3 linked regions of the Arabidopsis thaliana genome follow. The protein of the gene in region 3 interacts with the protein of the main gene of each other region in a pairwise test. Each region holds a gene or a part of one and is shown on either strand. Other genes may lie near its edges.

Region 1 (7,771 bases), on a different chromosome or scaffold from region 3:
TAGGATCTCTGAAATTTCACCTGCCAGGAGCTTCAGCATCCCAACCACACCGAAAATGGAGCGGATTTTAGGGACACGCAAAGAGTTGCATTCTGCTACTTGATCTGAGACAGGCAAGAGGATGCATTACACATACATGCATAAGAGAACAAAAAGATTCCAATATAACGAGGCAAAAACAGGAAACACACCAATGAGCTTCATGGAGCCGTCAAGACGACTAATATCCAAACATGAAGCGGAGGAACCATCGGTTGGCTCGATGACGTACTGATCAGGGAATTCCCACAAACGCAAGCCAGAGTGTATCTTGAGCCTACTCACCATGGCTTCCAGCAAGAGGAAGAAGAACCAATCACCTTCTTCGTTACGAGATTTGAAACTAGTAGGCGAAATGAATTCCGCTCAATTAAAATGGCCTTCAAGGCAGTGAGAGTGAGACCCGTTCAAATTGATTCCGTACATAACGGTTGACCAATAACAACAAGTCGACGACCGTTATTATTATACTATCTTTGTAGTTAATTTTGCGTTGACTTTTTTAGTTTCATTAATTCCGATAATCAGCGGTTTTCTGCATGATTACAATAGACTCCATTAAAAATGGCCCAACAACTCAATTCAGTGGCTTATCCTTTCTTTACATCTGGACAAAAAGTGTTTTCTTGACTTTTAGTGTTCATTACACAAAAACGAAGGACTTAAACACAATGTCGTATGTATGTGTATGTATCTTGGCCCAAAAGAATGTGTCCAGTGCCCACCCGACTATGAAAACGAGAATCTTGAGAAGACTGATAGACCTGAACCCTCACTTGCCGGACTTGGAGTCGCCTCTGTTGTTGTTGCCGCTGTTGTTGAGCTATGGTAGGCTTGCTGACACTTCTGGATCTCCTCTGGACTGAACTGCAGCAACATCCCCACTACAGGTAGTAAAGCCTCCACTTCACCTGCAATTATCACAAGTTAATTTACCCCTAAAACATCTACTTCGTGAATCCACCTTTAATCTCCAGGTTTTTTAACCTGTTTCTAGCAGTTTTAATATCACATTCTTTAGGTATGTCATATCCACGCCTTCTCTCTTCTGTTTTCTTTCCATCTCCCTCAACTCCGTCTTTAGCACTGCTTCCTGTAATTTAGCATACCACCGGAAGTTTGAAATAAGATCCTAAGAAACTGGCAAAGCAACCAAACTCTCGTGTAATCACATACCTGTTGACTGTGAAGACGGTTTTCTCGTTCAAGCTCCTCGATTTCCTCCTGATTCAGAATAAACAGTTACTAATTGCAACATGTGCAGAAACAGATCAATGCAACCAATTCTACTACACCTGAAGAGCTAAAATATGGCGCTGTGTCTGTGCTAACTCTTCTTCTCTCTGAGCTTGTTGCCTTGCCAATATCTGAAATTTGATTATTATGTGTCATGATTAGCTCTCACTGATTTGTCCCGTAGGCCATAGCATTACATTTGAAGGAAATTAAGTTCTAGGATTAAAGATCGCTCCTTGCTCACACAAGCAGACAGCTAACATTACAAAATCCTACCAGAATCTGGTGCTCTGCTGCAGAAGTGCTCAAGTTAGATACATCCTGCTGTTGTGACTCTGAAACCCCGTTTAAAGAAAATAATAGGTTATTGATGACAGGGAACCCACTGATTCATTCATATAGGGAGCCCTTATTAAAAAAATATGGTATCAGGAAAACATCTTGTACCTGTGTTGTTGTTCCCATAGTGGTGAACCTGGGATGGAGATTTGTTCCACTTAATGCCACATGAAGAGTGAAAAGTTTCAGTGCAAATTAAATGAAAAGTTACTAGCGTAAAACCAAAGATAAAAAGGAGAAGTAAGGTAATAAGCAAAAAAAAAAAAAAAAAGAACCATCCACATACTACTGGTTTTGACTCCATAGATTTTCGAAGATTTGTCATCTCATCCACAAGTCTCGATATCTCTCGATCCTTCTCCTCAATGAGTCTATCTGCAAGCTCACGTACTGATTCATGCTCCTCCTGCAGGTATGTCAGTTAGACAAAAAAACTTTTTTATGAGTATAACAAAAAGTGATTTACCTTCATTCGTTTATTCCGCAGTTTGGCATTTTCTAGTTCTTTTTCTATACCTTCTGCAGGTGAGGCTTCATTTTGAGCGGTCAAAGCTTCACATCTTCCTATAGATTACTGTAGCCTTTTAGGAAGGGAATTTCAATTTCCAAGAACTAATGAAAAAACCGAATTTAGATTTGAATCAATTACGTCGCCATGTTTCTTCTAAAACCCGAAGGTCTTCTTCCCAAGCTTGTTTCTCCGCCTGATTGCGAGCAACAGTGGAGTCAAGCTTCACTTCAAGACTTTTGATCTGCTCGCTGGCATCTTTAAGTGCTCCAGCTCTGAAATATATATGAAACAAAAATAGCTCAGACGACCAATATATGTCTGAAGAACTCCATAACCAGTCCCCTGAGAACACCATTTCTCAGTTGTTTTCTCTGGCAAATTGAGGAGAATGAGCAGCCAACCTCCGGAATCAAACATGAAAAAGATTCAGTGTCAATATATACCTCTCTTCAAGTTCTTTCTCAAGGCTAGCCAAAGCACTCTGAAGATCTTGCTGTGCCCTATCCCTCTCTGCAGATACCAAATATACTTCTTTTTCAGCTTCCTAACACCACCCAAAAAGATAATTAGTTGGTAAGCACCTTGGCAACCATCTAAAAATATCTCCATCTTAAGATTCTAGATAACTTACCTTTAGAGCTTCCTCAAGAGATTTAATTTGTTCAGAGTCTTTAGCTGCAGCCAGCTCCATGTCCTTCTTTTGCAAAAGCGCGTGAGCACGGATCTTGTAAGAAGAGAATTCACTTTGGAGCCGGTTGATCTGTGAACAGTTACAAGGAATTCAATATGGTTAAATGAAGACTAGCTAAAGCAGAACATTCCTTAAAGCTCAAAATGGCTCTTTGATTCCATAATAATTCACGTTATGTGATTAAGAATGGATGACTAATAAATTCGTTCACCTAACCAAGGCTACAATAGTTTCCAAAAGAACCAAAAGAAAACTATGTACCTCTTCTCTTGCACCTTTGAGTTCCGCATCTTTTGTGCTTAGTATCTGGGTCTGCATGGACATTTCAGATCCCAGCTGACCTGACAATTTATATGAATGAAATGTCTATAGTCCATAGACAAAAGTAAAACATAACTAGATTAGTTCAACGTTTATGAACTCCGTCAATTACTTCTCATTTTAGCCACTTCGATTTCGGCCTGTAAGTAGTTGCTTTCAGCGATTTCCAGTTTAGATTTAAGGGCATCGCATGAAGCTTCCCAAGTCTCCTTTTCCTTTTCCTAAAGGAACAAAAAAAAATCATGGCTTCTATGAATTACAACAAAAGAAAATAGAGGAATTTATATGGCCAAACAAATAGAAACTCTAAACATGCTGTCTGATGACAGACTGACGCCTTAGATCATGTTTACAATTATCTATACGCACTCCTATATTCATTCCCTGGTTAAAACCATGCTAGTAAATCTGCTAAATGATGGAAATCATTTGACGAGTAGTATGCAAAACAATGTCTTAGAATATACGAATGGGCAACAATAACGAAGGACAAATGACAGTTGGCATCAGAGAGTCCTGCGAATCCATCTTTAAACATTCCACTTACATTCTCTGATTTAAGGTGTGCAAGCTCTCCTTTAAGAGTTTCTGCAGCAGCCCTTAGCCTTGCTGCTTCGCCAGTTGCAGCTGCCTCCATCTCTGCAATTTTAGATTCCTTCTCTGCAAGCAGTACCTAAAAGAGGTGTATACTTGGTGTGAAGAATTTATCACTTATTTCAAACTATTCTCTCTCGCTCATTTGAAAACCAAAGCACATCATCCAGTAATAGAACTAAAGAATTTAGTCAAAAGACTAACCTGCAGCGACGAAATGGTTTCGGCTGCTTTGTCCCTCTCAGATAGAGCATCTACGACCTGTGCTTCCAAACCCTCTAAGTTCTGTCAAGAAGGTGGAGAGAAGAGAAAACCTTGGATGTCATTAGCGGAAAATGGTGGCTCATAGCATATAAGAAGTAACACAATCGCTGATGCTGACTACCTTTTGATGCTTGGCTGACAACTCAGTAACTGCAATTTGCTTTCTCTCTTCCACAGCTTGTAATTGCTTTTTCAGGTCCTCCAGAATCTAGGATTAAAGCAAGTACGCATATGAAGCAGAGTATACAGAGCCATCCCTCCCCCCCCCCCCCCCCCCCCCCTCTCTCTCTCTCTCTCTGTCTCTTTTGTCTCTCTATTTTTCTATATATTGCAGACTAGTATTACAGAAAATGAAAGAGATCAAACCTGGTCCTTATCAAGAAGTGACTGTTGCAATGTCTCAATCTTATTTTCTTTAGGCTGCAATGAGCCACGTAGTTCCTCGATAGTATCCCTGAGCCTGTGTAAAGAGAAAACTCCAGTACTCAAATTCTTAGAGGTAGCTGGAGAAGTGGGAAAGGCGACATTCATTTTATACAATTTCTGTAAAAATTATCTTCGAATTATTTACTTGTTATTGGCACTCCTTAGTTGTTGCCTCTCCGCATCCATTGCTTTAAGTGCTTCATTCGCCTGTTGCCTAGTGCGTTCCAGCTCTTGTTGCATGGATGAGTGTTGAGAAGATGCTCGTTCAGCTGTTTCATTCACTTCCCGGAAACGGGCGTCGAGATCATCTTTTTCCTGAAGATAGCAATATAATATACCACTGAGATTAAGACAGCACATAGCAGCGAAATCTATATGTCTGAAAATGCAGCATAGAAATTCCGAAATAGTATAAGATGGTTTTTGAAACTCACAGTAGCCTCAAAGTGGCTAAAACAGAAAGCATTATAAAATGTAGAGAAAGACATTCACCTTTTGGATTTCTTGAATGCGTTGTTTAGCCCTTTTGTGAAGCCTGGTGAATTTGGCGTCCAGGTCGGCATATTTCTCGTCGCGCTCTTTGATTTCCTGGTCCAGTTTCTGTTCAACTACACCAACAATGTAATAGCACAAGTTGAGAAAAGGCAAACACTGGTTCCGGTCAATGAATGAGCAAATAGAAAAGATGGCTTCTGACCTTGGGAAAACTTAGAGGAGTATTCTTGGGATTTAGCATCAGCCTCAGAGTATGCTTCCCTTAGATGCTCAAGAGCTTGCTCAGCTGCAACTCGAGTTTGTTTTTCCACATCAATTTCTCTGCTCAATGATGCGACCTGTTCTTGAAGTTGTTTCAGCTGAGCAGAGTCCGCTTCCACTTGCTCAGCTTTCTGGAGAGACCTACCTTGCGCTACCTCATCCTTGAGTCCCTCAAATTGGGATCTGAGAAAGTCATTTTCTAATCTCAGTTCAGCAATCATTTGGAGTAGCTGATCACCATTTTCTGTCAGAGTCTCGTTGGAGGCATCATTTAACTCTTTATCTTCTTTGATCACATGGCTCTCCTCTTCTTCTCCAACCACATCAGATTCCTTGTCTTCGGACATCTTGGCAGAGCAGATGTCAGAAAGATGAACCCAGACACTCAAGAGAGCGACGACAACTAGTAAGCGCAAAATCGGGATTTGAATCAACAATCAAAAGAGAAAGGAGTCAAGTCGTGAAATTCGAATAAACCAGCAAAAGCAACGCAAGGAGAAGAGAGATTTGAATGTAATCAGTGCCAGAGAAGAAGCTTACCTTGAGGTGAGGGATTAGAGAAGAGTGTGGAGGCAGAGAGAGAGAGGTCACAAACAAGGAATCACGATTTCGAAATATTGGATCGGATCTCAACCCAAAGGTTAAAAACGTCGTCGTCTCTTTCCCGTCGATCAGTGAGACGGTAAAACGTTGATCTGATCGACTGACGAAGAATGGTAAGAATTGTGTAAAGGGTGTTTTACTAATGAATAATTGCATTCAGAAGCCTTAAACCTTTTGAAAATTCATCAAGTAAACCCAAGACGAGGTTAGCTAAAATGATGCCGTTTTGGAATGGTAATATGAAAATATGAAGGACAGTCCGAAAACAGCTTAGCCCATAAAGCAGCAACTTAGGCCCATTATGTATTTGTAATATATGGCCCAATTATAATCACTTTCCCAACTAATTTATATAAAATGAAATTATTGAAGTCTTTGTCCAGTCAAATATAATAATAAGCCATTGAAAAAAATGGCGGAGGAGAGCAGAGTCCCATCATCGGTGTCGGTAACAGTCGCCCACGACCTTCTTCTAGCCGGCCACCGCTATCTAGACGTCAGGTACCGCCCCACCTTTCTCTTTTGACTATTTCAATCATCAACATAGCATCATTAGGATCTTGATGTAATGGGGATGATGAATATAGGACTCCAGAAGAGTTCAGCCAGGGACATGCCTGTGGGGCGATCAACGTGCCTTACATGAATCGAGGAGCATCAGGTATGTTTTTATTTGGTTAGTTGATAACTGAGTGATGGATATAATTTTGTGATTGTGAAACAGGGATGTCAAAGAACCCCGACTTCCTGGAACAAGTCTCCTCCCATTTCGGACAATCCGATAACATCATTGTTGGCTGCCAGAGCGGTGGTAGATCTATCAAAGCCACCACCGATCTTCTCCATGCAGTAAGCTCCACCACAAAGCTCTTCTTTCTGACTTTTACTTTGTTGGTGATATATAATTTGCGAATTTGCAGGGTTTCACGGGAGTCAAAGATATCGTCGGTGGCTATAGTGCCTGGGCCAAGAATGGCCTTCCTACAAAGGCTTGATGACTCACCATTCACCAAACATCTTTCCTTATCTCTTCGTCTCCTTCTTCTTCAATAATGCATCCTTTCCGCATGTAATCATCAATAAATGACCCTCCTTTCTCTTTGCTGTCTGATGTGATAGCTTGGAGGGAGGGGCTCATCGCATCTTTTTAAAATATATAAAAATACGAGTGTGTGTTGATTGCATCGAAATCTCTATATATATAGTTTAAAAAAAAAATCAATTAGAAAGGAGAAAGGAGCATCCGATCAACGATTATATCTACAAGATTGTTACCTTAAAGGTCCATCTGTTCTTGGCAACAGACAATATATGTGTATATATTGAGTGATCGATGAGTACACAAAGACAACAACACCATATCAACAACTCGATCGTGTGTACAAAACAAGTGGTGTGACCTAACGAGGCAAACTTCAAAATACGAGAGAAGCGACGAGAGAGGACTGAGATATTGACACGGCTCAATCAGATGAGTTAGTAAAAGAGAATCTGAGTGAACCAGGCCAATATCAGAGGGACTCTCTCGGAAACATAGTGTATCTGTTTTGTAAAAGAAACAAGAACGCAAGTGAGAGAATGTCTGTAACTGTAAGGAGATTAAGAAGAAGAAGGGAGTGAATGTGCAACTGCAATTCTGCGAAGCATTTAATAACTCTGCTACTCTCAATGCACCAAAGCTGGGCCACCTCTTTTATTTTTCTAACTTTAACCCGAAAACCAAGTGAATAAGGGAGTGTTGTGTAACCATCGTTTCAGGGGAAATCATTCACGTTTCTTTTAACTTACTGCTTAGTCTTCCACAAGTAGACATTTATGAAGGCACAACAATCCACATCTCTTCTTTCCCACTGTATGTAACCGTCCCTCTTTCGTTTTGTCTGCTTCTGCCCTCAGTTTCTTTCTCCTAAATAATCTTCTTATCGCCAATTCAATAAAAATACTATACACACTTAAAGAAATGCATTTCATTTAGTCTTCTTCCATTTACA
Region 2 (8,002 bases), on a different chromosome or scaffold from region 3:
AAATATCCATACCACACAAGAAGTTACTGAAGGAAGTTATGATGTCTTTGTCCATCAACTCAATCGCTGTCTTCCATCTGCTTCCAAAGTCCTTCACCAGTGGCTCTACTTCAGCAATTGTAATGGACCTCTCTGGATTTAAGCTCGAATCCTCAGCTGCCACATATCTTACAGTTTAGTGGTTTTTCAACTTAACACTCGATGAGTACGTGAAGAAAAGAAAGAAACAAGTTGCTTACAAGCTCGATTTTTCACGAATTTGATCAAATCACTGAAATGCTCCACCAGCAGTTCTTCCTACGAGTTAACATCAGATTTAAGGTTAGGCTACTACAAAGACAGTTTTATGTTATACCCATGAAGCAAATTACAAAGGTAACCTAGTATTTGCCCCTTACCACAAATAATGAAGTGTTACTCTTTAGCATTTCCTCAAAATGCATTTGAATTTTCCCACCTTCTGGTCCAGCTTCCTAAAATACAGGAAGATGATCAAAACAGATTCTTTTGGTAGGTCAGACTCAATTAGTTAAGCCTTGAGATTCGTAGAAAGCCATTTCAAACCAAGAAAACACTGGTCCACATGGGTGCACTTAACATGAGACGGCCAAGGATTCAACTCACCTTCAGTACAGCGATTGTCATATCGTAGTTATTTATGAGAAACACAATTTGCTGCTTTGGCCTTGGGAACAACTTTGCAAGCTTGAGAATCAACCCATCTACAGCCATTCTTAACCGCTCCAGATTTATATCAAGCTGCAGCGGTTCATATATAGTGTCAAGCGATTTGAGTGATGAGAACAGGTAATACATATCACTAGAGACAGAAGCAATCTTATAACGAACCTGCCCATCTCCATATTCAACGTTTAGGTGAATAAACGAAGCCGTGAATTCAGCATAACGCCTCATGACATAGTGAGGATGAACATCATCTTCCCATAATGTCTTAATGTTTGCATCTCTCAGACTGCTAAGGTGTGAGTCAAACACCATCTTGAAACGAGGCCACAAAGAAATATTAACCTGCTCAATTTCCAAAATAAAAGATTCATTGAGAGAGGACTATGAAACCTAAGGAAATCAAACCATAGCCGCATCTATAAGCTTATATCTAAGATCTATACAAGACCTTCAAAGTTATACCAAAAAGAAAACATTTAGCGACCAAGTGAAAACAGCTGAAGATGAGCACAATAATAATGAACTCTTTTTATTGCACCATACATATTTAAATGTTGATCAAACATAATAAAAGAGATAGAGAGGTATGAACCTTGTCCAGATATGAGTCCAGGCATGGAATTCTCCGGCGAGACATGATAAGCTGTAAAAAAGGTGGGAAAGTATTGCTTAACTATTAGTGGACATATAATACCATCATGACCCTTGCAAAAGGCTGGATCATGAAAATAAGTAATATAAGCTACACTAGATTATCATACTGTTGAGAAAAAATATAGACTGGTTGTAATACGCCTATGTGGACCAGTTGAAGGTATATCTACATCGTTAGTTTGCAAGATATTAAGAGAACTCTTTCCAATGCCAAGTTGATAAATATCTAACCATACTTCAATGCATTCTCACATATGTGGGAGACTAGAAAAGTTCAAAAGGGAAGAAGCTAAATAAATTACCTAATTCCAAGATATTCACCAAAACGCAGATAAACTAGTAGTTAGGTCATCGTTAATACCTGGTGGTGGTGTATTATGCGAATCATAAGCATCAGGCCAATAGCATCAAAACAGTTTGAAAGAACGGGATTGAAGTGCTCATCGATGACAGAAAATGGACCTGTATCATTTAAATTTTAGAATTTATCCAAAAAACTGCTACAATTATCATATCCATTGTAAAGTACAAGAGGTTCAGCTTTCTATCCGGAAGAAGAGAAGATAATTTCTTACACGCTGCTCAACACCATATCAAATTTGGTATACCAGTATTACAGGAAAAACAGATGTTCTTCTACACAGCTAACAAAATCCACAAAGTTTGGTACAGCAAAAGGAAGGGAGACAGATTAGAAATTACCCGCAAAAATTTCATAGAATATGGACTCTTCACCAAAGAAATCATCACAAAACATATACCTGTTAAAATGAAAACAAATGACGTTAACCAGGGGGTTGAGCGATGAGCGACAATAACACAAATATAAAAGGGGAAAAATCAACAGAACTCAGAAGTAGCTGTATCCATAAGTAGCTTGTGCAGGCTCCTGAAGAGCACTTCATAAGGATATTTGAGAGAGCTGGCTTCGGCTATGTGCGGGATCAAAGCAGGTTGATCAATATCCTACAGCGGTCATACTGAAACTTAAGTCTTTTAACGAATATTGTTAAACCAAACAAACTTTGGATTTACTTCTTCTATAGCAAAAAAAAACAAATTGATACCACACTAATCCAAATTGAAAATGAGAAAAACAAATCGAAACTTCCATCTATTTGAGGAGCCTTTAAAATTAAGGATACATATCGTAAAAACCAAAACTGAAATGAACCAAAATATTTGATTCCTATAATTTATAACCTAAGACTAAAATATCTGAACCAAAACCAAAGTGGGCACTCCTCAATAAAACTTATGGTGTACAATACATTAATATAACTTATACTTTATTTGTAAAGACGCAGACCTAGTACCATCTTTTGTATTAAAGAGTCAGAAGAGCAACTCATTTTATATAACAAATTCGCCAGAGCATGTAGAATGGTCGAAAAAATCAATCAAAAAATGATAACTGCTGAATGATGCATACCTTTATAATTTTTATCCTGTCACCCAAAGCAAAAACGGCAGAGCGGTTCTTTAGTGGCTCCCTAGCTCTTGAGAAGAGGCCGGTGGTTCTGGTCTCTACCCCAATTAAGTCATATGCTGTGGCTATATCTAACTGTAGTTTCTCAAGTGCTTGAATATAAGCACGAAAATGTGCACTTAACACCTGAAACAAGATCATACAATACATAAGGTGTAATAACATTTAAAAGCCTAAGCTAGCAAACAGCATTTTTATCTAACCAACTAGCTTTGTCCAATTATAGTTAGAAAACAAGAATAGAAGAATTACTTGCATGTAACGTACAATTGGATGTTGTATCCACTACCTTGCATATGCGGAGAATAACCTTAGTCAAATCTATCTGTGTATTCTTCCTCATTCAACTAAGACTATATAAAGGAGTTGCAGCATAGTGTAAGAAATCAAACAAGATAAAGAATATCACCTTGTTCATGGTATCAATGTATGCAGCACGAACATCCATAAACACTTCTTTTCCATGTTCCTTGAGGAAGGAGATAATATACCTATCATTAAATTGTAATTGGTGAATGAAGTATGTATCCACATAAGTCTTGTAGAAGCAATATAATATCAAGTTGGATATCAGTAACATGTAAAATAAAACAACTCCGTCAACATCACAAAGGGAAAATCCAAACCAAGATAACTAACCAAAACGTTTGTAAGGTGATGACCACATACACATGCAGAAAAAGTTAACAGAAACATACATGCAAGACAGGAGACGTTGTACAATTTGTAGTTTCACTACGTCAAAACCAATTAAAGGGGCTTGGAGAGCATAACTCACTTGTACTTTAATAACACACTCTGTTGAAGAATCTGAATGTTTGTTTTGGGTTTCCTCAGGGCTATAAGCTTCTGGACAATAAAATCATACACCTGCAAAACGAATTTAAATCTATTGCATGAGAACAAATTTAGAATGCTCCATCGACGTGCAGTCGTGCATGCCCTTTCAGCATTGGACGAGAACAAACACAAATGACTTAATACAGAACTAAAAGTTGAATTTATCGCAGATGGCAACTTTTTCCTGGCCATAAATTCTTTCAGAGGGAAGGAACAATGATTCATCTCATTGAGGTAGAATAAGTTGAGTTATATCAGGAACTTAACTTTTCTGTAGTTTTTTATCAAACAATTAACAACTTTAAGAAATATGCATGTATCAGTGTGTTTTGAGAGTCAATAGGTACAGTTATGTTTGGACCTATCACACTCCCTTCAGCGAAATATATAAGTTTTTGGTATCAAGTAACAGAGAAAGTAGATCAATAACCTTGGAAATAGCTTTCTGCCGAAGCTTTTCGAGCTCAGGCTCTACATCTTTTAACGCTTTGGAACTTTTAACTGCCTGATCTGCTTCTACAAATTTTAGCTTCTTACTCAGAATTTCAAGCGTTTTCATATACTCTTCATTCACCTGAATAAGGAAAATAATACGACTATCAGATTAGCAATAAAAATACCCTCAGCAATCCAACCTAGGCTTAAATGCACCACTATGGTTTTACAAAAAAAACACGTACTCAGGGGACATAAAGATAGGACTAAATGGTGTAAGAAAACAAAATGAAGAAAATTTAATAAATTTTAGTATTGCACATAGGGGAAGCATATACCAAGCTTAACCAGAAAATGTTGTTTTTCTATTTTTCCTCCATGTTTCAGATTACAACATATGCACCAAATCAGTAATTCTTATAGCACCAGAAACAAAAAGAAAAATTAGACATGTATACAACATGACGAGATCCTACAAAATTCCTACAAATCTCCAACCCTACCAAAGCTACATAAAAAGTGAATTTGAAAAATACCTCTCCGTCAACAATTACATCTATCATCTTTGGTGGCACTATAATGTCTTCGACAAATTTTGCTAGCTTTGATTCAGCCACCTATTCAAATAGAAGAGTTCATTTGGATGAGTCACGAGTGAAAGCAGCAAGAGATAATACCAATAGTGGTTTCTGATTAGCTATACCCTGCGGTTTTTCAATCTCAAACCCATGTCCATTGACTTTTCTTGAAGAATCTTTATGTCTGAACTTATAGAACCAATCTCTTCCTGAAAGAAAAGAAGCAAAGTGCACATTTAGATTACCAGGAAAAAATATATGTATTTCAAAGTAAAAAAATTCCTCCCATTAAGCAAAAGTCAGAATAAGGAGAAAGAAGCACATACATACACACAAATTATATAAATGTCTAATTTTCAAATACCTGAAATCCACTGAGAAGAGTTTCCATTTGTGACAGGATGCTGTCACAGTCACGAATCTGATCGTGAAGTGAGACTAGGTTGTCACTTTCCTTTATGTAATCCTGAGTATTCATGGAATGTAAAGCATTTAAGTTAGTTACTTACGATATCAAAGAAATTCCCGAACTTATAGACGGAAGTACATAAAAAGTAGAAAACAACAAGTGCCACAATGTAGCACAGGTAGAGAATAACAACCTCGATTGAATCCAATTCAACCTTGCGTAGATTGTTTTCAACCCCTTTTGCATATTCTCTAAGTTTGTCACCACTAGACAGTATATTGGCAACAACCTGACATTTCACACAAACAAGATAGAAAGGACATCATATCCATGGATCTAACATTCTATGATCAATCCATGTACTCCAAAGTAACTCAAATGAGAGTAGAAACAATACTTCGAAAAAGAAGAACCGAGGTGCTAGCTTTATAAGTTTGATCTCAGTTAAGTGAATAACTTACCTCATCACTTTCACATTCTTCAAGTTCTTGTTGAAGCCCTTCCAATGAAATATCCTCACTGCCAAACAAATCAAAGGAGAGCATTCTAATCAGAAGAACAAAGAGAAGCAGAAACATATGTTATAGTCGAATTAAGATACAAAACATGAGAACGTTACCTGCCTGAATCTTCTTCAAAAGCCAAGTCTCCAACAAATGCTCCTAAATCAAATCCAAGTTTCTCATGATTACTAAAGTCCCCCATAGTTTGGCCCTATGAATTTCAGATAGAAGAGCAAAGCGAATTAGACAAGAGATCATAAAGGATCCATGATTAAGGCTAGAAGATCACGAATGCAAAAAAAATGAAGTACCAATGCGTCAATGGAAATGTCGGACATCTTCCTAATGAGATTAAGAGTTGAAAGATCTTCAACTAGAAAACGAAATCAGAATCCTCGAAATCAGTTTGAGTCCGCCATTAGAGAGTCTTCTTCTTCTTCTTCTTCTTCTTCTTCTTCTTCTTCTTCTTCTTCAGCTTCACCTTTCTCAGATTCGTTCGTCTTCTCTAATCTGATTTTTAATTTCCCAATCAACAATAAAGGCCCATTGGGCCGTTAAAAGACTTATATATAAAACAAACGGGTTAAAATATGGGTCGCCCGATAAAACCCGTTTTGATAAATCATAAAACCTCAGAAGTCGGAAGACCTCAAGTGATGCTTTTTACTCGAGACAGAAGAAGATGATGAAGCAAGCCCGCTCTTTGCTCTCCAGGTTACTTCAGTTCCTCTCAAAATTCAGATTTTAGATTTCATTACTCTTAAAATGGCTTCTCTGGGTTGGTTTGTTTTTGTTAAAGCAGGAGCCTTTGTGACCAAAGTAAGTCACTTTTCGAAGCTTCGACGTTGCGTGGTTTTGCAAGCTGGTCAAATTCTTCAACCCCTGGACGTGGATTCCCTGGTAAAGGTAAGAACTTGGTTTGTTTCCGTTTCGTCAGTTTAAGTGTACTTGCCCTAATTTTGTTTGCTTGATTTGAGAAGATGCCGCAAAGCCTAGTGGTCGATTGTTCGCACCTTATTCTATCTTCAAAGGAAAAGCTGCTCTCTCTGTTGAACCTGTTCTTCCCAGTTTCACTGAAATCGATGTAAGCCCAAAATCCATTTCTTTTTAGTTTTGTGTGTTCTCTTTAAAGGCTTCTTTTAGATTCTCATTACTTACTGTGAGTACAATTGTTTAGTCGGGAAATCTTCGGATAGATCGTCGTGGATCCTTAATGATGACTTTTATGCCTGCTATTGGTGAGCGTAAGTACGACTGGGAAAAGAAACAGGTATTGATCTTTTTCACACTCTCTATCTTCTTCACTTGTCTCTTCTTTCTCCTCTGATAAATTTGGTTTGTTTCCTACATTATTGCAGAAATTTGCTTTGTCACCTACTGAAGTTGGATCCTTAATTAGCATGGGTTCCAAAGACAGCTCCGAGTTTTTCCATGACCCTTCCATGAAATCAAGGTTTGTCTTTTTTTGCTTCAATACATTATATTTTTATCGCAGCATTTTCATGTTCTGACATAGACTTGTCTTTGACTCCTCAGTAATGCTGGTCAAGTCAGGAAGTCACTGTCAGTTAAGCCCCACGCAGATGGTAGCGGCTACTTCATCTCATTGAGTAAGGCTTCTATCAAATTAACATGGATAATCAGTACTGAAATACTTAGTTATGGGAGCTTTCTGTTTAGTAAATTTAGAAGCTTGCACTTGTATTAGTTTTGTAATATGGCGATAACAGTTTTCGCACAGAATAGCTGTCTTATAACAATAGGAATGCTGAATTCTTAATGCTGTATAAACACTTACCTTCTGCGGTTTTGTTGCAGGCGTTAACAATAGCATCCTCAAAACCAATGACTATTTTGTGGTTCCTGTCACAAAAGCTGAATTTGCAGTGATGAAGACAGCTTTTAGTGTAAGATAAGATTTTTATTCTGCGTTCTCTATATTCTGTTACTATTATATCAGTTCGAGAACCAAAAACATTGACTAGAAAAACCAAGGGCATTGCTTCTCTGTCAGTTTTAGCACATGAATCTGGATCAAGTATATATTCTTCAAGGGATATTGGTGATTGTTTTTTAACCAGATTTTGTATTTTGTGCAGTTTGCTCTTCCACACATCATGGGTTGGAATCGGTTAACTGGTCACGTTAATACTGAAGCTCTGCCGTCGAGGAATGTTTCTCATCTAAAGACTGAACCACAGTTAGAGCTGGAGTGGGATAAATGAAATGATGAGAGTAGTAGGAACGGAGTAAATTGAAAATGCATGTGTTCTTTTTTCTGGCATTTGGTGCACACGAAACTCGGCATGCTCTGTTTTGAAACTAATATGTCCTCTCTAAGACTTCTAAATCATGGGTCTTCTTGTTTTCATTAGCACATATGTTATTTAGTACAAGCATTTTGGTT
Region 3 (4,874 bases):
TATTGCGAATTATGCGTTTGATGAGTTAGTGGGAAAATTCAAATAAAGCACAAGTGTTATGTAATTTTTAGCTATTAGTTGGTACTATGTATGAGGATTTGATTGATGACAATATAATTATGAAATATAGTGTCATTAAAATTTTCAAATAGCTTGGTTGGACTATTCAAAAATATGACAATACTTTTCAGCTGCAATGAAAGAAAAACAATCGTACAAGTTTCTGTTTTTTTTTTTCTTTTTCAAAAGGATATGTCATAAATTCATAATAAGTAATTACAAAAAAACTCATTCCACTAACTTAGTTCCATAAAATCGTTACGAGTGATTATTGCTGATTAAGTGAGTATACACATTATTTGGGATAGAATTGCTGAGTATACTCCAACTGCATTAACCCACCAGAGCTTTTTACGATGAGAGAAGCTTAATTTTAGGGACATGGTGGAACTGGAGAAAAATACCTGGGAACAGTGTGAGACTTTGAATTTAATTAGCTCATTTAAGTGATCTGAACTAACGACATGTGTACGAAATTAATTATCTGTTTCTTTATGGGTCAAAGATTAAAAATGCTGTGCTTCTTTCTCTATCAGACTATCACATGGAAAGACGAAACGAAATGAGAGTTTTTATTACCTAGCAGCTCACAGTTATACATAATTAAATTCATAGACCGACAAATCACAGTTTTGAGAAATAAGTAAACAAAAGTACTGAAGCAGCGAGCATTTGAAACTCCAAAGACCACAAAAGATCACAGTTAGGGACAAACCATAGCTAAAACAGAGTCTTCTTTAAAAACAATCCGATGAAGAAAAAAAGTTGAAAAACAGGCAAAAATTTTACAGATGGAAGACGATAACTGATCGAATCATGCAAAGGGGCTTGAGGACATTTTTTAGTAGTGTGTTTTGTTGTTCTCTATCGATTTGTTGTTGTGTTGTTGTTGCCAAATCTAACAAGAGCATCCTCCTGATTGCTGCTGAGCGAGAGATGCATTTGCATTGGAAGACTTGAGATTGACATCAACCATATCCTCTTGCTTTGTTGAAGACAATGTCTCCATTCCCGGCAAAGCTGCTGCTATCTTGCGGAAGAGCGCCTAGCAATACAAAAAGGTTTGAAATCATAAGAAAACAAGATTTGCACGGAGTGATAGCGTTATGGATTTGCGGTAATTGTTTAGAGAGTATCAGTGAAAGATCCATACAAATGAGGAGGATGTAATAATCAGCAGGTTGGGTTAAAAATTTATAAGTCTAGGTTAATTAACTATTGAATATTGATGGAACTAAACAAAGTTAGGGCTTAGTTGAACTAAGCAGCAAGTTTTTGTTGTGCAAGAAACCCTCAGAAATGTGTCAAGCCAAGATCTTTGTTACCTTAATGTTGAAGCCCGCTTTGGCACTGGTTTCGATGAACATTACATTAAGTTCGCGTGCCTTAGCTTCTGCTTCCTCTATTGACACTTGCCTGAGAAACAAAATATTTAATACAAAGGCCCAATTGGCAGTAACAAATGTAGTAGGCACCATCAAGTGTCAAAGCGTGTTGACTATAAAGAAACCCTGTAAAGATATGCAGTTGAGCAGCAAATGATTTTCCATTTATTATCTTGTAGGGTCGTTTGGCAACATACTCAATACCACCAGAAAAGTAAGACGTGGTTTAACAACAGTTTGTACTTGAGTAAAACAAAAAAGACACCCATTCGTCTTGTCAACATACTTACGAAATCAGAGCGTGTTTAAACAAGGAGGACTACCAAATTTCAGTCTCAATTGCTATTGAACAGTAATTTGCACATCATGGTTTAACAAGAAACAAGTAGAGGAAGAGATGGTAGATCATTATTACCTTTTGTCCACTAGATCAGTTTTGTTTCCCACAAGCACGACTATGACATCACTACCACGTTCTGTCCTAACCTCATCGATCCACTTAGTAGTGTTTAGGAAGGACTGCCTGCCTATATGTCAGTGGAAAACAAAATAAATCTCGAGTTTCACAACGCACAATGGATCAACATAAAGAAGAAATCGAAACGCATAAATTCATAAGATTACTGAAAACCACATCCCCAAGATCTCAGATATGGGAAAATATTCATGTGTTTGAGAGAACGAGTGAAGGTACACATACTTGCAACATCATACACAATAACAGCAACGGAGGAATCCCTGATATAGCTCGGAATTAGACTCCTGAATCGCTCTTGCCCAGCTGTATCCCTGTCATATGATTTCGGCTCTCGATGTTAATCATCAAAAAATGATCTGCAATGTTATTCTTCAGTATTCGAAAATTGAAAGAGGCTCAAGATCTTACCACAACTGAAGTCTGACCGTTCGATCTTCAAGGTACATTGTCTTTGATAGAAAATCAATACCAATTGTGGCCTGATGATTATGAAACAACATAAAAACTACTTAGAAAAGGAAGAACATTCTGTAAAATGACGATAAGCAAGCATGGTTCACATATTATTAGGAGCTTAAACGTAATTCTCATAATCACAGAACAAGATCAGATGCTTTCATTCATCAATTGAGAACTAATTCGATTAGATAAACAATGATAACATGATCAAAGAAACATCCTCATATTAGTGTTACTGCGATCTTCTATTGGACTGAATTCTCGACTTTGTACAATAAACGAGAGTGAGCGATTACGATGCCAAAATCTCATTCAGCTGATTGTTACGTCCTATACATTGACTAAAACACGATCTACAAATCAGATCACACATAATTACGCAAAACCAAACGCCCGATCACGTAAACGAGTAAGAACTTCGAACTGAAAAACACGATTCCCGTCCATGAAAACGGATCTCAAAATCAATCAAACCCTGGGATTTTCCCGACTATAATCCCTCAAAATAGAAGCAAACGTCGTGCATCGTCGAGATAATACCTAGATTTGAACAATGGAAATTTACCTGGTAAGTGTTGTCGAATTTGTCGTACATGAATCGAGTAATGATACTGGTTTTGCCGACGGATTGATCTCCCAGAAACACCAGCTTATACTTAGCGAGTGCCGAGACCGGAGCCATGATTTCTCAAGGATCTAACTCGCCGGACGGATCTGAGAAACGTCGAGATCTCGCTTTGCTGAGAATAAAAGTTTCCGATATTTACCGGAGAGAGATCCCGTCGCTCTGGAATTGCAAATACTGTATTAGTGAGAGTTTGTTATTCGTAAATTGCAGTTTATTCCTCGAGTGACCCAATTGGGTCATTTATGTTAAATTAGAAACTATTTGAGATAAGTTACAAAATATATAAAAACTTAGAAGCTGATTAAGGAATTTACTACATTATGGGCAGCATTTATAAGCCCACGTAAGGATTTGGGCTAGCCTTATAGTAGGGGGCACGTGTCATCTCGTATGACCTGAACTATTTTTGCCCCTTTTGGCTACTTGACTCTTCTGTGTCTCTCTCATCAAATCAAATCCCTAATTCTCGAGCTCGAAGAAAGAGACGAAAATGGCACTGAGAAATGCAATTCTTCGTCACCTGAGGGTTCCGGTGCAAACCCTAGGATTGAATCAGTCTAAAATTGGGTTCCTTGGTACGATCCGGTCATTTTCTTCGCACGATGATCATCTTAGCAGAGAAGCTGTCGTCGATAGAGTACTCGATGTTGTCAAGAGCTTCCCCAAAGTCGATCCCTCTAAGGTCAGCTCGATCTTCATAAAATTTGGCCAAATCGTGATTCTTATCTTTTGTTTTCCTCATTATTGGGAACAAAATGATTATTTTGCCTTGAATATTTGTCAATGTAGGAGCTTTTGGTTGATTTCGTATTGATCTAGTGGAAATAGAGACCAAATGTATCTGAAACGATGTTGCATTAGTGTTGTTAGTAAATTGAAGGTTATTGATCTCAATGTGGTTTAGTAAGTGTAGCTTATCGTGTTGTTGTTCCTATGGATTTGATTTGATATGGTCATTCTTATGGATTTTGCATTTATGAATCCTTCATCAACTCTCTCTAATAAGGGTTGTTTGGTTAGGGTTATTTTTGTTGATGGCTTTGTGATAAATATCGACAGGTGACTCCTGAGGTTCATTTCCAAAACGATTTGGGATTAGATAGTTTGGACACAGTGGAGATAGTGATGGCTATTGAAGAGGAATTCAAGCTGGAAATTCCAGACAAAGAAGCTGACAAGATCGATTCTTGCTCTCTCGCCATTGAATACGTTTACAATCATCCAATGTCTAGCTAATCGCTGTGTGCTCTCTCATGGTTTCTCCTTCCTTTTTCTTGTATGAGGTTCTTCTCTCTTTGATAATGCCATAATGGGATTTGCAAAAAAATCACTTTTATTTGGAGAGCATTGTTATTGACTCTTTTAACGGTTCCAGTTTCTTAAAAAGAAAACCTTTTTGCTTGAATCTTGTGAAAGTTGACACTTTTTCTTGAGTTAATACTTTAATACGATTTGTATATAATACACTTGATTCTTAGCATGGTCTTGATCATACATTGAAGACGAATCTTTGAAAAACATACTTGTTTTAAAAAACTGATCGTCTCTCTTGGATACATATGCAAGACCAAGAAATTGGATCTTATATACTACATTACATCATAACGTGCTATTAACTAGAATTGTTTGTCAGCCATCTTTTGGATCGAATACAGACAGTAGTTTTCATTTGGACAAGTTTTCTGCTTCATCTCAACTACAGCATTTGTACCAAAATACACCAATATCTCTATCCACAAGTTAGATGTTTTAATTAGGAGATACATTTCAGGTTTCGTTTGAATCGATTTTTTAGTAAATGGGACAAAATGGGTGAACTTACAATATTAAAAACTTGCTAAGCTAATTATGCAAAATGGATAGG

What was found.
Region 1: the proteins of RAB6A (region 3) and ATGRIP interact in a two-hybrid assay, tested with the Arabidopsis thaliana proteins (one study listed by BioGRID).
Region 2: the proteins of RAB6A (region 3) and POK come close enough for resonance energy transfer, tested with the Arabidopsis thaliana proteins (one study listed by BioGRID).

The regions. Positions count from the first base shown.
Region 1 is NC_003076.8:26,404,365-26,412,135, forward strand, and holds ATGRIP (Golgi-localized GRIP domain-containing protein), read right to left. Parts: upstream 5,992-7,771; 5' UTR 5,718-5,991; intron 5,581-5,717; 5' UTR 5,525-5,580; coding exon 5,119-5,524; intron 5,030-5,118; coding exon 4,914-5,029; intron 4,737-4,913; coding exon 4,567-4,736; intron 4,456-4,566; coding exon 4,362-4,455; intron 4,204-4,361; coding exon 4,117-4,203; intron 4,017-4,116; coding exon 3,936-4,016; intron 3,811-3,935; coding exon 3,685-3,810; intron 3,359-3,684; coding exon 3,250-3,358; intron 3,158-3,249; coding exon 3,078-3,157; intron 2,886-3,077; coding exon 2,757-2,885; intron 2,670-2,756; coding exon 2,569-2,669; intron 2,398-2,568; coding exon 2,264-2,397; intron 2,179-2,263; coding exon 2,081-2,178; intron 2,021-2,080; coding exon 1,901-2,020; intron 1,772-1,900; coding exon 1,723-1,771; intron 1,611-1,722; coding exon 1,552-1,610; intron 1,407-1,551; coding exon 1,335-1,406; coding exon of another isoform or gene 1,329-1,334; exon of another isoform or gene 1,264-1,328; coding exon 1,216-1,263; and 7 more. Other genes in the region: ATSAC1B (Phosphoinositide phosphatase family protein), read right to left, coding at 21-104, 192-327; STR16 (sulfurtransferase protein 16), read left to right, coding at 6,193-6,281, 6,368-6,441, 6,505-6,629, 6,701-6,775. UniProt on the Arabidopsis thaliana protein: Golgi matrix protein playing a role in tethering of vesicles to Golgi membranes and in maintaining the overall structure of the Golgi apparatus.
Region 2 is NC_003070.9:26,861,667-26,869,668, reverse strand, and holds the start of POK (Vps52 / Sac2 family), read right to left. Parts: upstream 6,083-8,002; 5' UTR 5,934-6,082; coding exon 5,907-5,933; intron 5,807-5,906; coding exon 5,712-5,806; intron 5,612-5,711; coding exon 5,554-5,611; intron 5,382-5,553; coding exon 5,286-5,381; intron 5,150-5,285; coding exon 5,048-5,149; intron 4,893-5,047; coding exon 4,809-4,892; intron 4,723-4,808; coding exon 4,642-4,722; intron 4,245-4,641; coding exon 4,101-4,244; intron 3,701-4,100; coding exon 3,609-3,700; intron 3,322-3,608; coding exon 3,240-3,321; intron 2,957-3,239; coding exon 2,774-2,956; intron 2,308-2,773; coding exon 2,192-2,307; intron 2,103-2,191; coding exon 2,044-2,102; intron 1,804-2,043; coding exon 1,703-1,803; intron 1,331-1,702; coding exon 1,280-1,330; intron 1,030-1,279; coding exon 850-1,029; intron 760-849; coding exon 625-759; intron 474-624; coding exon 399-473; intron 298-398; coding exon 240-297; intron 157-239; and 1 more. Other genes in the region: ATWHY2 (WHIRLY 2), read left to right, coding at 6,278-6,309, 6,398-6,501, 6,576-6,679, 6,773-6,865, 6,954-7,048, 7,132-7,205, 7,414-7,502, 7,695-7,820. UniProt on the Arabidopsis thaliana protein: Acts as a component of the GARP complex that is involved in retrograde transport from early and late endosomes to the trans-Golgi network (TGN). The GARP complex facilitates tethering as well as SNARE complex assembly at the Golgi.
Region 3 is NC_003071.7:18,410,820-18,415,693, forward strand, and holds RAB6A (Ras-related small GTP-binding family protein), read right to left. Parts: upstream 3,335-4,874; 5' UTR 3,065-3,334; coding exon 2,948-3,064; intron 2,403-2,947; coding exon 2,332-2,402; intron 2,235-2,331; coding exon 2,146-2,234; intron 1,973-2,145; coding exon 1,861-1,972; intron 1,477-1,860; coding exon 1,386-1,476; intron 1,106-1,385; coding exon 959-1,105; 3' UTR 605-958; downstream 1-604. Other genes in the region: MTACP-1 (mitochondrial acyl carrier protein 1), read left to right, coding at 3,501-3,692, 4,070-4,246. UniProt on the Arabidopsis thaliana protein: Protein transport. Regulator of membrane traffic from the Golgi apparatus towards the endoplasmic reticulum (ER). Binds GTP and GDP and possesses intrinsic GTPase activity.